Linked DNA regions of Macaca mulatta. Each later gene encodes a partner of the first gene's protein in a complex. Links are inferred from orthologs where the notes say so. Each region holds a gene or a part of one and is shown on either strand. Other genes may lie near its edges.

Region 1 (8,023 bases):
TTTAGACTCCACAAAACAAAAATGACCAAATGTCCCAATGACAGCCTGTAAATTATAAAAGTTGGTAATTGAAATTAGATTAAGGCCAGGCACAGTGGCTCACGCCTGTAATCCCAGCACTTTGGGAGGCCAAGGTGGGCGGATCACAAGGTCAAGATATTAGGACCATCCTGGCCAACATGGTGAAACCCCGTTTCTACTAAAAATACAAAAATTTAGCTGGGCACAGTGGCACGTGCCTGTAGTCCCAGCTACTTGGGAGGCTGAGGCAGGAGGATCACTTGAACCCAGGAGTCGGAGGTTGCAGTGAGCTGAAATCATGCCACTGTACTCTAGCCTGGCAACAGAGAGAAACTCTATCTCAAAAATAGAAAAAGAAAAGAAAAAGAAATTAGATTAAAAAGACGACGAAATGGATACTTGAGACAAGTCGTAAGTCGTTAACTTTAGTGGGCTGAGTTCAGTTAACCTGCGGAGAGCTGTGCCTACTTTCTTATGGGTATGTAGAGTCGTCTGTTTGTTTTTCAGTGCCAGTGGGGAGGTATCTGGGGTCCCAAACCAATTTACATGATTGTTTTATGGTTTTCTTGGAGGTCAGACTAAGGGTCTCCTCCTTGGATGTACTGATTAATTCCATCCTTTTCTTACCTCCACAGTGTATAAAATGCTTTTATTATTCACACTATACTGCACTGAACTGTTAAATTCCTACAGAGTAGAAATAAACGTAAAATACAGAAAAATACATAAAATACATAAAATAGCATAATACAGAAAATAGCTTAATAAAATATAATATGTAATATATATTCCAATTACATAGATAAAAACTACTCCAAATTAACTTCAGAAATTAGATGGTTGTACACTATATATGGTGACCTTTATTGGTAGAAAATATAAAGTAATTTTTTTTTTTTGAGACGGAGTCTCACTCTGTCACCCAAGCTGGAGTGCAGTGGCATGATTTCAGCTCACTGCAACCTCTGCCTCCCTGGTTCAACCGACTCTCCTGCCTCAGCCTCCCAAGTAGCTGGGACTACAGGCGTGCGCTACCACGCCCAGCTAATTTTTATATTATTAGTAGAGATGAGCTTTCGCCATGTTGGTCTAGAACTCCTGGCTGGTCTAGAACTCCTGACCTGGTGATCCACCCTCCTCAGCCTCCCAAAGTGCTGGGATTACAGACGTGAGCCACCGTGCCTGGCCACTGTTTTTATTATGGTTTTTTGTTGTCATGAATAACAGTGTCCTTACCCCTCCAAAAAATGTTTTTATACTTTCCTAAAAGACATTTTAAAAATTGTAAATAAAATGTTTAAGATTTAAGTTTGAAGACTTCTGCATAAAAATTTCACATTCATACAGAGTAGCAATAAATGTAATTTTTTGACAATGGAGAATAAAAGTATAATTTGTTTCAATTATGTTCCCGTGGCAAATTCCTAATTCTAGCCAATGACCTGTGTGCGTTAGCCATGTCACAGGATGGCAGTTCAGGGTGGAGACTCTGGGACCAGGCTGCCTGGGATTGAAGCCCAGGCACATATGATTGTGTGATGTGGACAAGTCATTTAATATCTCTGCCCCAGCTTCCTTATTTGTAAAATGGGAGTAATACTAAGACTACCTACCTGATTCGCAGTTTAAAGGAGTTAATATATGGAGAGCTAGTTATTATTATATCATTTGTTATTACATATTAGTTTCATTTAAAGTATTTTCTGACTTTATAAAGTATTATAGAATGAGAAAAATCATTCTCAGTCTTTTACTGTGGGTTTCAGGTTGAGGCCATCAAAAATTACAAGGCCTAGATTTAATTACAATTATCTATTTGTGGTAGCTACTTAGAAAAACAAAATCAAAGTAGTTGAAGTCAATAAAACAATCCCTTGCTTTCAGCTTCAGGTTTGGGGAGCAACATGTATGCATGTAAATGTGTTGTACCCTTTGCTGGGGGGAAATTTTAATGATCTGATTGATCATGTACTTATTTTAAGTGATATTTCATTTACAGTGTTGGGTGTATTTTATTTTTATAGAAGTTATGTTCTCTGTGTTTTATGGCTCTGTTTGGTCAGTTTAATACCCGCTTTATTATTAAGTGTGTTTCTTATTCTTGTAACCACTTTATAAAATACATCAGAAATTTTCTGTGTTTTCCTAAATCATGTGATTTCTTCTCACTCAGAACTGAAGCCCTGATTCAGTTGCCCCGTCTGAAGAACAATGTTCCCTTGATGTTTCCCATCCCATTTACTGGATGGAGCTTTTTTTGTGAAAAGAGGCAACAGTAGTGTTAACTTAGAGCTGCTTCCTTGCTGTAATCAAGTGTGTTTGTTGGCAGACGAGCTCAGGAAAGGGACAAGCAGTGGCTGGAGCATGTGCAGCAGGAGGACGAGCATCAGCGACCAAGAAAACTCCACGAGGAGGAAAAACTGAAAAGGGAGGAGAGTATCAAAAAGAAGGATGGTGAGGAGAAAGGCAAACAGGAAGCACAAGACAAGCTGGGTCGGCTTTTCCATCAGCACCAAGAACCAGCTAAGCCAGCTGTCCAGGCACCCTGGTCCACTTCAGGTATTAGAAGCCAAAAATAATTCTAGAAAATAAGTCATCTTCTCTCCCAGATCCTCCTGAAAAACGCCCATATCTCATCAGGACCAGTCTTGGCTACATTAACAGATGAGAACATCAGTCTCTTATTTTGAGCATGGCAGCTCTTCTTTCCCCAGGGTCAGTTGAGATCTGTGTAATTCTCCCATCACCATGCCAGCCTCTGGCCCACGTTACACCGGCATCCACGAGTCCTCTACAGAGTTAACAAGTGGCGTGAAGTTCCACTGGTCGTATATGCTGCAAAAGAACCTGCTGTTTCTCTGGTTTGTTATTTCCCTCCCTGGAATTTCTGGGCTGTTTCTGCAACAGAAAGTGGCACCTTTCACCCTTGCCTCCACTGATGGGGTATTCGCTGTCTTCGGTCTGCATTGCATAGAGCTGCTTTTACTTTTTGAAAAGTGGCAGCGTTTTGTCCTTTGAACATAATTTGCTTTTTCTTTTCTTTACTTCTCTTTGCTTTTCTTTTTTCTTTGAGACAGTCTCACTCTGTCGCCTAGGCTAGAGTACAGTGGCACAGTCATAGTTCACTGCAGCCTCAAACTCTTGGGTTTAAGCAATCCTCCTGTCTTAGCCTCCCAAGGAGCTGGGACTATAGGTGTGCACCACCATGCCCAGCTAATTTTTTTTTTTGTAGAGATGGAGTTCTAACCTTGTTGCCCAGGTTGGTCTTGAACTCTTGGCCTCAGGCAATCCTCCCACCTTGGCCTTTCTGAGTACTGAAATTACAAGCATGAGCCACCATGCCTGGCCTAATTTGCCTTTTTTTTTTTAAAAAAAAAGGATAAATAAAAGACTGAACAAAAAGATAAATGAAAGACCGATCTAATTGGAATAGCTAGGAAAAGCTATCCTTTATAATAACAGATGTAAGCTAGAATGTATTTAAGATTCCTGTGTGGTTGTGTGATTGTACAGTTTTGCAAATAATGCTCAGCGGAAGCAAGTCGTTGCTTTTTCTTTGTGTGGAAAATTATACCAATTTTGCTTGGTCATCCGTGTGCTGCTTTAGTGCTGCGGTATACAGAAAGAAAAGAAAGAAAAAACACTTTCAAGCTATTCTGTAAAGGTTTACTGGTTCCCAGCTGCATAGTGGGCTGAGATGGGCGTGAGGTATGGAGATGCAGTAGGCACCTACCTGCCTTCAGATGCGTGCAGTCCAGGGGAAAGACTGGCAGGTCATCAGACCTACACAGTAGCAACCATGTCATAGGAGGGGCAAATCAATTTTTTGATAGTTTTTTTCTATCTGAAAATAATTTCACCATTGATCTTAGGCAGTTAGTTTAAGTTCTTCACGCGTCCTCCTAGTATAAAATGAAGATTTGTTTTTTCGCCTTCAGTCAGTAGGAAATCTTGCATGTCATACAGTTCAAAATCATGTGGAGATAATACTTTACCCTCATTGCTTTCTGGATAAGAGAGTTATATGTCAAAATACTTGTAGCTTTTGAGTAAAAATGCCCAAAGGTCTGTTATTAGTTGTTGCTAACCAGAATGCAAAATATCCTTTGCTCATGTGCATTTCTAAACATTTTGTTTCATTTAAAATCTAAATTATTTTCATCTAGGGTTCATCCTTAGGCTCATTATTTCCCAGAGAAATGTATAGGAAGAGTTTCTTCATTGGGGATTATCAGTATAACTGAAATCAGCACTTAGGTTTTATATGACCATGTTAAAGAGCCTAAAACATCTGCATTTTCATGTTTTGGTATGGAAACTGGTGCCTCTGTTCCCTCCCAAACAAGTTTGCTCCTTGGCTGATTCAGACTTTGGGTCGTATCCTAACTGCTACATTGTACTCAACACGCTGGGTAGGGAGGAGGGGGTATTGATGCTTTACAGATCTGCACTGCTAGAGCCCAAGCCAAGAGGCAGAGACAAGGGACCTTTAGGCAGCCTGGCTACACTCAGCCTTGGAATGACCTTTGTTTAGAGGGAGTCACCAATGAACTCTCTGATGGGTTTGAGTTGCTGACGTCAGATTTGGCTCTGCTTTGGCAGTCAGTATGTGTTTCAGAAATTCCTTGAATGGAGGGAAATAGTTCAGAGGTGAAGATAGGCAATAGAGGAGAGGTTAGTTGTTTGGCTTGTTGTCGTACATTTATGTTCTCTGTAATTATTTATTTTTGTCCCCCCACCTTTTTTGTAAACAGAAAAAGGTCCACTTACCATTTCTGCACAGGAAAACGTAAAAGTGGTATATTACCGGGCACTGTACCCCTTTGAATCCAGAAGCCATGATGAAATCACTATCCAGCCAGGAGACATAGTCATGGTAAGAAAGACTCCAGTGAGAGGGTCATTTCTGTTGAAGATTAGCCTCTGTCCTCTTGTTTCACTTTATTCAACAATTGTGAGATTGTCAGTGAGTATGAAACCCAATAATTCAGCATCTAGATTTTTAAAGTGTAAGCTCAGTCTTCTTTCTTTTTTATTAAAATGAAAGATGGCATTTAAAAAATGTATCCCAACATCACTTTAAAATTGAGTTGGTAAAGACAATGTGTTCTTATTTTTAAATCTATAAATGTCTGATAATTTCAGAGTTTAGATTACTACTTATATACTATGAGTAGAAATATATGAGTATAAATATATATGTAATACATATATTTTATATATGATGTATAGACTATATACTAGCATGCGTGTGTATATATATGTATAATATATGCTAGTGTGCATATGTACATATATATACACACACACTAGGATCCTCCAAAGTGGGAGGAGGCCAGGAGTCTTTAAGAAATAGTTATAAGTGCAGAACACCTATCATCATTCTCATAATTGCAATAACTTTTGTATCTTTGCATCAGAGCATCTTTTTTCCCTTTAATTATGTGAACTTTGAATTATGTAAAAAGAGTAATGAATTACACAGTTAATCTGCTTTCCTACTCTGAAACAGAAAATAATTTAAAATTTTACTTTGTTACTGTTTCTTTCCTTTAATTAATAACAATCTTATGATGTGACTGAAACTATAGGAACCAGTTTAAGAAAGAAAATCAAACAACATGGTTCATCTAAATCATTTTCTAAAAGAAAATAGTAGTTCCTTGTTCTAGTTACTCACTTTTAGAGTCTTAGAAGTCGTCAACTTTGCATTACTCTTAGCACTTTTTTTTTAAAAGATAATTTAGCTTTTTTTGTTGTTGTTGACACAACTTCTCACTCTGTTGCCCAGGCTGGAGTGCAGTGGCGTGATATTGGCTCACTGCAACCTCTGCCTCCCGGGCTCAAGCAAAGAGATTCTCCCACCTCATCCTCCCAAGTACCTGGAACCACAGGCGTACACCACCATGCCCAGCTAATTTTTGTATTTTCTGTAGAGACAGGGTTTCTCCGTGTTGCCCAGGCTGGTCTTGAATTGCCTGGGCTCGAACGATCCTCCCATGTCAGCCTCCCAAAATGCTGAAATTACAGGCATGAGCCACCATGCCTGGCCTAGAATTTGTAAAGAACTATGAAAGTTAACAATTGAAACAACATGTTTCTTGCCCAAGGACTGTATGTCTCTGAAGTATAAAGGGTGTTATACAGGTGATTATACTATTACTCATGCATTCATCTTGCCATATACACATCATATCTGTGGATCTTTAATAGGCTAAAATACGTAGAAATAACAGTATGTTTAGCACTTAGAGAAATCAATTCTTATGTCCCCTTTTTTCCTGATAGCGCTGTTTTCTCTGTAATTACCATGGGCTAGAAGAAGCAAGGCCAAAAATCCCAAATTATTTTTTCTTTTCTTTTCTTTTCTTTTCTTTTTTTTTTTTTTTGAGACAGAGTCTCACGCTGTCACCTAGGCTGGAGTGCAGTGGCATGATCTTGGCTCACTGCAGCCTCCACCTCCCAGGCTCAAGTGATCCTCCTGCCTCAGCCTCCTGAGTAGCTCAGAGGTGTGTGCCACCACACCCAGCTAATCTTTATTTTTTTATTTTTTTGTAGAGCTAGGGTCTCCCTATGTTGCCCAGGCTCCAGATCTTTAAAAGTTAAAATCACCTTAACAATAGTGAAAACCTCTTCAAATATACTCCATGGCTTCATTCAGCACACAGTTATTGCCTGAAACATGCTGGGTGCCAGCCTTACTCATCCTTTACAGAAAGAACTGTGGGTTTGGGCACTCCACTCTGCGCACACAGACGGTAACTCGAGCCAGCAGGGCATGTTTGTCAGCTTTCCTCTGACTTCACCACCTGCTGTTTCCTACACCGTGGTTTCTAATAGCCTGAAGCTACTTTCCCACACTGCCTCGTATTTGAAGTAGTGTATCCTGTAAAGCAGATTAATTGTAAAATATGTAAATACCATGTAATAGGAATCTAACATTTCTGAAAATACATTGTCACATCAGTGAGGACCTCATTACAATTTTTTTTAATGTTAAACAAACCAGCCTAATATTTTTGAAACTGGATTTTCTTGCAACACAAGGTGCAGAGAAGCAGCTCGCTCTCATCCTAAAGTAAGGGAACGTTGTGAAATGTTATGATAAGGAAATGTTGCAGGTGATCTGTATCTTGATGAGAAAGTGTTGCTCTTTTTCGGTAACATATTTGGGCTTCACCTATAATCCTAGGCCTGTTGAAACCTTTTCCTCGAATTGGCTAGTTAACCACCAGCTTGATGAGATGCGTAGAGTTTAGATATGCTGTAAGAATAAAGCATGTCATTAAACATATATTTTGCCTTGCTTTCAAACCTTTGCTTTCCTGGTGGAGGTTAAAGGGGAATGGGTAAGTGTTGCCTAACTGTCAGGAAGTCTGCATCTTATTCAATGTTTTGTCCTTTTAAGTCACTTGAATTCTGTGTAAGTACACATATCTCTGGGTGTTGTTGTGGCAGTAAAAATGTGTTTGAGTCTGTGTAGTAGGTTGTGCTTAAAAAAAAAAAAAGTAAGTCATAAGTCTTCTCAGTTTGTGTACTGGGTTTCTTTTTGCTAGATTCCTTTTAAGGACTAACTTGAATGCTCTGTGTTTGGCAAGGAATTGGGTCAAGTCTTCATCCCAGGCCATAGACAAAAAGGAGTTCCAAGTAGATTAAACATAAAAGATAACAATTCTGGAAAGCAAAAATTTTTAAGGAGACTATTGGAATAATTTTCTGGCTAAGAAAGGCCTTTTTAAGCTATAAAAACCAGAAGTCGTAAGAGGCAAAAATGGACAGTTGACAATATGCAAAAATTAAAATGTCTATATTTCAAAATATATGAGACCAAGGGTTACATAAAGGGTTACCCCTGTTACATAAAGATTCCAAACAGTTAACTTTGAAAGACACCCACAAGCCTTAAACAATTGGCAGAGGGTGGGAAGGGACATTCACAGATGAAGTAAAAAGTCAGTTATTTAAAAAATACATGAAAAGATGCTTAGCTTCTTGGGCGATC
Region 2 (8,023 bases), on another chromosome or scaffold:
ATATGCGCTCAGTCTCAAATCCAAAGTAATCATAACTACTATCTATCTATCTATTTATTTGTAATCCCTTCAGTAACCCTATGAGGAAGATATTATCAAGCACCCCATTCATTCAAGAAACAGTGCTTGAGCACTTTCCGTGTATCAGTGCTGTGGGCTTTTCTAGGCTCTGGGATATAGCATTGATCAAAATAGACAAAAATCTCTGCCCTCATGGAGCTTATATTCTAATAGAAAAAAAGAAAACTGAAGTTCAAAGGTATCTTACAGTCACTTGCCCATAAAAACATACTGAAGCCGGACTTAAACCCACAGTAATCTGAGTCTGCTCATCAGATAGGAAAGAGGGAACAGAGCCTGCTGGATGGAAGAACACTTGATAAAAGCACAGAGGCAAGGAAGAACATGATATGCTCAGAGAATAGGAATAGTGTGCAGGGGCCAAAGTGTCTAGAGGCCCACTTTGGCCCACAGGGACCAAACTGCAGGGTCGTGATTGCCACACAAAGAACTTCCACCTTGTTAGGTGGAAGAATTGGTCATCACTGCTTTAGGATGGGATGATCAAGCTAGTGTCTGCTTACATTGGACAACTAGTGCTGCAGTGTTGAAAAACTTGCACGGACCTCCATGGCTTTTTTTTTTTTTTTTTTTTTTGAGACAGGGTCTTGCTCTGTTGCCCAGGCTAGAGTGCAGTGGTGTGATCTTGGCTCACTGCAACCTCTGCCTCCCTGATTCAAGTGATCCTCCCACCTCAGCCTCCCAAATAGCTGGGATTACAGGTGCGTGCCACAACACCCACCTAGTTTTTTGTATTTTTCATAGAGACAGCGTTTTTCCATGTTGCCCAGGCCGGTCTCAAACTCCTGGCCTCAAGTGATCCACCCACCTTGGCCTCCCAAAGTGCTGGGATTACAGGCGTGAGCCACCTCACTCAGCCTCTCCATAGGTTTTTATAAGGGCAGCAGTTTATTTGAAAGTGTACTACCTCCCTGGTTTGCTATCACATACATTAACGTCTGGTTGTGTTGATACTTTCTAGGTCTTGCCATGGAAAACATTTTTATTACAAAAGTGCCTTTTGCTGGCATATCCAAGGCATAGTGTAGTTTCAGAGTAGTGAAGGAATTCCATTGGAAAAGCTATCAAGGGTAAATGAGTGGGGTTTTTTCCTTATGTTTTGAGATAAGAGTTAATTTAAAATCTGGCCTTCGAGTATTCTGTGACTGGTCAGCCATCCTCAATATAATTTTTCTGTCTCAGGGAGCTATGGCAACATCCAGAATCTGGATTTTGATGAAATGTTTTAATGTTCATAAAATGGGAAATTGATCTTGAAAATGACCCCCTTTTTTGCCTTATTTTTGTGTAACTTGGAGTTAATTTTACACTTTGAGATTTTGAGATTTTAAAAACTTTATGGTTTTAAGTGATGGTTCTAACCCATCTTGGGACTTGAGAAAAGCTTTTAAGACTGTTTTCTAGAGAGCCAGAAGACAGCAGGCCCCTGCCTATTACACGTGACAGGCAAGGCTGTTAGGAAGCAAAGCCACATGGACTTTCCAGCCCCTCTGTGGAGCCTCAGAGCATTTACAGATTTGGCAGTCTCAAGGGCAACATGTGGGTGGCTGATGCTGGTGGACTGCTATTGTCAGGGATAAAAAAGAAAACCATTATGGTTAGCAGCTTGTGCAGTAGCACGCAAGTGGATCAGCTCAGTCTCCACACCGTTAAGTTGGAACATAAGAAATCCAAACCATGACTGATCTCAATCATTTCCTTTCCTACAATTTTCTTCTTTTAGCCACTGCTTTACAGTGTTTCCAGATCAATCCTAGGCACTGCACCCACTGTCATCAAATTCATGTACATAGTTCTTTGCATTTTCACTGCATGCTTGTCCATGGGAGCCCTCTGGTAGCAGTTCCAACTCAGTGCCTTCTCCTTTGCTTTTGCTTCCCAAATCATCACACTTCTGTGCTTATTCATCCCACATTGACTCACATCCTCCAGAAAATGGCAGGATTGTCATTTCAAAGAAATGGAGGCATCAAGTTGAATAACTTGATACAGAAGCTGGAGTTGGAACCCAGGTCCTCTACTTCCAGGAAGTGCTCTCTTTTTTTGTTTGTTCGTTTTTTTAGAGACAGGGTCTCGCTCTGTTGCCCAGGCTGGAGTGCAGTGGCATGCTCATGGCTCACTGCAGCCTCAACCTCCCAGGCTCAAGCGATCCTCCCACCTCAGCCTCCCGAGTAGCTGTGACTACAGGCACATTCCACCATGTCTGACTAATTTTATTTATTTATTTATTTATTTATTTATTTATTTATTTATTGGTAGAGATGGGGATCTTGCTGTGTTGCCCAGGCTCACATGTTCTGTTCATTGAACCTCATTGCCTCTTGAGGATTCAGTTTCTTCGGTTTTTGTTACGGTTTTATTCTGTTTAGTTTTTTAAAGTAAAACTTCACCTCATTATGAAAGTTTTACAGCATTTAAATTTTTATGTTCAACATGTTTCTCAATATCATTTCAATATTTTGATCCCCAGTTTTTGTCATGATCAGCCCACATCTGCTCCTTATCTAACCTTTTTAATTTTGTCCATGACCATCCTACATTGCAGGCTTCTCAACCAGATGAGTTGACCATTGAGGAACATGAGGTGTTAGAAGTGATTGAAGATGGAGATATGGAAGACTGGGTAAAGGTATATTCCTTTGCTCATATCGCCCCTTCTTGTGACATTTTTAGGAGTTCGTTTTGGTCTTTGTTGTACCCTGTCTAAATTGTGTGTGTGTAAACTTGTTTTGTCACATGTCTTTTACCCAGGCTCGAAATAAAGTTGGCCAAGTGGGTTATGTGCCAGAAAAGTACCTACAGTTTCCCACCTCAAACAGCCTCCTGAGCATGCTGCAGTCCCTGGCCACTTTGGACAGTCGGTCACACACGTCCAGCAATTCCACGGAAGCAGAACTCGTTTCAGGCAGCCTCAACGGAGATGCCAGTGGTAAAGACTGAAACAAGGCACTCTTTATTTGGTCACATTTGACCTAAACTGTATTGCCCTGGAGTAAGCCTTCACTAGGATAAAAAGCACAACTTTCCCCCTGTCCTATAATATGCTCTTCTTTATATGGTCACATTTGTCCTGCACAGTAGAACCCTAAAATTAATCATCCGTGAGTAAAAAAATTACAACTTTAATCCTATTCTGTATGATGCTGTTTTAGTTGTCATGTGAGCATAGGGGTGGTTGCAGAAGCAACCGGCTGTTAATTATCTTACCAGATTTGTTTTTCTCTTGCTCCCTAGTCTGTTTTGTGAAAGCACTTTATGATTATGAGGGCCAGACAGATGATGAGTTATCTTTTCCTGAGGGAGCAATAATCCGTATCTTGAACAAAGAAAACCAAGACGACGATGGCTTCTGGGAAGGGGAATTCAATGGGCGTATTGGAGTTTTCCCATCCGTGCTAGTGGAAGAACTTTCAGCCTCAGAAAATGGTGACACTCCATGGATGAGAGAGATTCAGGTACCTAAGAGGGGAGCTGGTTGAATTAAAAGATGTTTAAAGAAAATTGCTCCCAAGGGGTCTGTGAATTCACACAAAAGTGGGCTGCAGTCTCTGCCTTACCCTCACCGGTCCTTGGTTGCCAGTGTCTGCACAACTGAATTTGGGAAACCAGAGACTTCTCAGTCAGTCCCTTGTGGAATATGGCCATCCTCCCACACCTCCATCTTCCCACATTCTCTTCCCTGCATCGGTTAACCAAAATGCCAAATTATATGTGACATATCAAAGATCATTTAGGTGGAGAAAAACAAACCGAAGAGGGAAGGTATTGCTCTGTGGTTAATTTACGTAGTAAAACTCTTAGCTGGCTCGCTCTCTCCCTCACTGTCAGAGCCTCCTTGCCTAGTCCAGGTCCTGCCAATCTATTTCAGAGAACTAATGAGCCTGCCAGAGCCCCCAGTCCCCACTCAAGTGATCCTAGACTTAGTTTATCACAGGGGAACAGCCTTTAAAGGAACCTCTAATTCAGTCAGAGTTCAGTTTGTCCCCTCAGGGATCTATCATTGCGGGCCAGACAGGTAGAGGAAGAAGGAACATGTTTGCCAATTTTGTTTGCATGGTGATTGTGACCCTTAGCCTAACATGCACAAAACCTGGGGAAGTCAGAAATTCATCAAGGTATTTTATCTTCACCCCAAAAAATCCAATTTGTTCCTTTTGTTGCTGGTGTTCTTTGCTAAGTTTACTGAATTGACTAATTTGGTACATTTTCAATAGAACCCTAGAGAGTGGCATCACTTGATAACTGTTTAAGACAAACTAAAATCAGTAATGTGATGAGATCTGTAAGAGGAAAAAGTGAAGTGCAATGCAAAATTGGGGCTTGAGGTGGTTATTTAATGCTCAGTTGCCTCTAATGAGGTTGACAAGTTTCAGTAGTCAGCTTAGCTTCAGAGAAAAGGGATGTGTACAGAGCAGTCAAAGCAGCAGCCAGGCTGTCCTTCCTGGGCAGAAGCACCAGGTAACCTCACTTCCCTTTGCTGCAGATCTCTCCTTCCCCCAAGCCACACGCCTCCCTGCCTCCACTGCCGTTGTATGACCAGCCTCCCAGCAGCCCCTACCCCAGCCCAGATAAGAGGAGCTCCCTGTACTTTCCCCGGTCTCCTTCAGCAAACGGTAAGGGTTCTCCTGGGCATGGATCTAAATGCATTTTCACTTCAGAAATCTGCATATTCGCCTGAAGGGCAAACAAAACTGCATTTGCTTTTTTTTCTTTTTTTTGGAGACAGAGTCTCACTCTGTCACCCAGGCTGGACACCCAGGCTGGAGTTCAGTGGCATGAGTTCAGGCTGGACACCCAGGCTGGAGTTCAGTAGGCTCACAGCTTAACCAAGTGGCTCAAGTGATAACTAACTCCTAGGCTCAAGTGATCCTCTGCCTCAGCCTCCCTAGTAGCTAGGAGTACAGGCATGCACTACCACACACAGCTAATTTTTGTATTTTTTGTGGAGAAAGGGTATTATTCTGTCACTCAGCCTGGAGTGCAGTGGCAGGATCATAGCTCACTGCAGCCTTGAACTCCTGGCCTCAAGTAATCCTCCTGCCTCAGTATCCCAAAGTGCTGGGATTACAAGCTCGAGCCACAATGCCAGCCTTGCATCAGCATTTTTATTCAACAACTCAAGTAAAATGAGCTTCTTTGGTTTTCTCCCGTAGAAAACAGCCTTCATGCTGAGTCACCAGGATTCTCTCAGGCATCAAGGCATACGCCTGAGACCTCACATGGCAAACTGCGACCTGTAAGTCTCTTATCTTGCAGGATTATAGAATGCATAATTCTTCCAAATTGAAAGGAAGGAATTAATGTTTCCCTGTGGCCCCTATATTGTCACTGACTCTGCCAAACAAGGATGAACTGGGTTTGGGAAGGTAAAAAGAGCTATTGAAAAGGAAGGCCATAGAAATCAACTCATCTTGGAACATTTAATCTACACTAGAACTTTTTTCACTGAGCCACAGTGAGATTGCAAGATGATGGCTATGAAAGTGTATTTAGATTAGAACAAGCTTTATGAGCATTAAAGTGGGCTAATTGTGAAACACTTTTTTGAGTAAACATTTAATTTTCCAGGCCTTTGTTTGCCTCTTTGAGGAATACTGAGATGAAATAATAAGCTAACTTCATGGCCTTAAAGAGCGTTTATTCTCCGGGTGAATATATTATAGCAAAGTTACCTCTGTCTTCACCCTTCACTCTACTGCCATCTGCATTCCACCCACCACTGTACTCCAAGATCATGACTTGCACATTGGTAATCCAGTTGGATACTTTGCAATTTTGTTTTCCTTGACCCCATTAGCTTTTGATACCATTCCTTTACCACTGGCTTCCTTTGGCTTCATTCATTCAGCAAATATGTATTGAGTGCCTTCTTAAGGACTTGAGTCTTTATCCCAAATGAGATAGGAAGCCATTGTAAAGTGGTAAGCTGGACAGTGTTGTGGCTGGTGCATTTTTATAGCATCGCTATGGCAGCTAAGTGGAGGATGGATGGAGGCTGGCAGAAAGGACCTAGAGAGCAATTAGGAGATTGGGGCAGCATCGAAGAAAGAGGTGGTGGCAGCATGGACTGGTGGGTAAGAGTAGGAACAGAGAGCAGTGGACTGATGTGCTTCTCTACCACATTTGCCTCGTTTGCTTTCTTCCTCTCTGGTCCTACCTTTCTGTGGACCTTTGCAGCCTTGCCTCCACCTGCCTCTGCTGATACTTCTCATTGTTCTGTCCCTGGGCTGCTTCTCTTGAAGTTGTTGAAAGCACTCTTACCAAATGACCTCATCTACTTCCACAGCTATGATAACCATTTATATACCAGCAAGTTTCAGATTTGTAACTGCCAATCCGATCCCTTCACTGAGCTTCAGATTTGTGGATGTCTCTGTTTATATATCCCAGATCCCCAAAACTCAGCAAAAATGAGTTGTGTTCCCTCCCAGACATGTTCCTTTTTCCATATTGCCTATCTTGGTAAATGGAACCCCCATCCTACTGGTGTTCTGGCATCATTCTTAATACCTCCCACCCCTGCCTCCCACAGTCATTCCGAAATCCTGCCAGATATACCTTGCAGACAGCTTGCAAATCTTTACACTTCTCTACTTCCCCTACTGCCAGTACCCTTGTTTGGGCTATTGTCAACTCTCATTCAGAGGACTACAAAAGTTTCCTAAGTTGCCTTCTTACCTGGACTCTTGCTTGCCTCTGATCTTTTCTCTAATTGTTACCTGAGTCATCTTTTCACAGATCTGATATTGCTTAAAATCCATCAAAAACTCCTCTTTTGCCTACAGAATAAAGCACAGATTTTTTTCTTCTTAAAGCAGATGTTTAAACATGGTTTAACAAGGCCCTTCACGACTTAACCCCAGCCTACCTTTCTAGCCTTACCTTTTGTAACTCTCTTCCCAAGATATGCTGAAATGTTTCATTTCTCTAAGCATTGCTCTCCCTTGCTTCCAACCAGACCTTTGCTTTGGAGGATGTGCTACGATCTTAGTCATGCGACTCTTGTGCCGCCCATGAGGTTTTTAGCCTAGACAAGAGGCTGATTTGTGGGCTTGATATTTCACTGAGAACAACTGCTTCTCAGTGTAGGAAATAGCGAAGACTAGGTTGAAAGCATGTGCTCACAACATTTCTGAGACCCCTAGGGTGCCCACGTCCTTGGACAGATGAGTGATTAGGTTTTGGGGATGCTTCAGATACTGAGTCAGGAACTGACTGACAATCTACCTAACTGTTTCCTGCTCAGGTCCGGGCAGCTCCCCCTCCACCTATGCAGAATCACCGAAGGCCAGCAGAGAAGATTGAAGATGTGGAAATCACACTGGTGTGATGATGGGCTTGCCCATCCATTACTGCTACAATCAAGGCCAGGCTTGGAGTTTGGCCAGTCTTGTTTTTAGGCACCTTTGCATGATGATGACTCTTGAACAGAGCAAAAACAAGGATTATTTGTGACTGGGTGACCTGGTAGACTCCTCCCACGTTTTGAATATTTCGTGCCTTTTTTTTTGTTGTCATTTTCTATGTCATTTTTCCTACCATAGCACAAATCCTAGTGGACCCTAGGAGCAAAGAGGGGGGCAGCCCTCATGCCTAACAGTGGTCTGTTTTTATATGAGACTCAAGACCAGGCCTCATTCCAGGGCACAGTCCCTAAATTACTGATCATGTGCACTCGTACAGTATATTACTGTGACCGCAAGGATGTGGCAAAGATTCTCATCTTTCTTCAAGTGGGTTTTGCTCATCTGATTGAGAATTAATCAGATCATGTTGGCTACATAAGGAAACAGAAGGAGGGATTTCAGGAGAGGCTGGCTCCTCCCCAAGGTTAGTCCCCAGACTGAGAAAAGTGAAACCTTATTGGGAAAAATTGGACTGCCCTGAATTTAGCACCAATTGCATTAACGCACATCTCTTCCACAACTAACAGACTTAAAAT

What was found.
Region 2: the proteins of ITSN1 (region 1) and FCHSD2 are in contact, whole or in part, in a crystal structure (PDB 6GBU), measured with the Homo sapiens proteins. The link is inferred for Macaca mulatta from reciprocal best matches to the Homo sapiens genes ITSN1 and FCHSD2. Residues at the interface, in NP_003015.2 of Homo sapiens: Pro1076, Ile1078, Gly1098, Leu1100, Leu1102, Gln1117, Ala1118, Arg1119, Gly1120, Lys1121, Lys1122, Arg1123, Leu1136, Ser1137, Pro1138; in NP_055639.2 of Homo sapiens: Tyr576, Gln581, Thr582, Asp584, Glu585, Gln602, Asp603, Asp604, Asp605, Gly606, Phe607, Val618, Pro620, Val622, Leu623.

The regions. Positions count from the first base shown.
Region 1 is NC_133408.1:13,588,676-13,596,698, reverse strand, and holds part of ITSN1 (intersectin-1), read left to right. Parts: intron 1-2,350; coding exon 2,351-2,580; intron 2,581-4,775; coding exon 4,776-4,897; intron 4,898-8,023. UniProt on the Homo sapiens protein: Adapter protein that provides a link between the endocytic membrane traffic and the actin assembly machinery. Acts as a guanine nucleotide exchange factor (GEF) for CDC42, and thereby stimulates actin nucleation mediated by WASL and the ARP2/3 complex.
Region 2 is NC_133419.1:73,179,074-73,187,096, reverse strand, and holds part of FCHSD2 (F-BAR and double SH3 domains protein 2), read left to right. Parts: intron 1-2,626; coding exon 2,627-2,710; intron 2,711-2,832; coding exon 2,833-3,010; intron 3,011-3,315; coding exon 3,316-3,536; intron 3,537-4,564; coding exon 4,565-4,694; intron 4,695-5,234; coding exon 5,235-5,317; intron 5,318-7,327; coding exon 7,328-7,411; 3' UTR 7,412-8,023. UniProt on the Homo sapiens protein: Adapter protein that plays a role in endocytosis via clathrin-coated pits. Contributes to the internalization of cell surface receptors, such as integrin ITGB1 and transferrin receptor.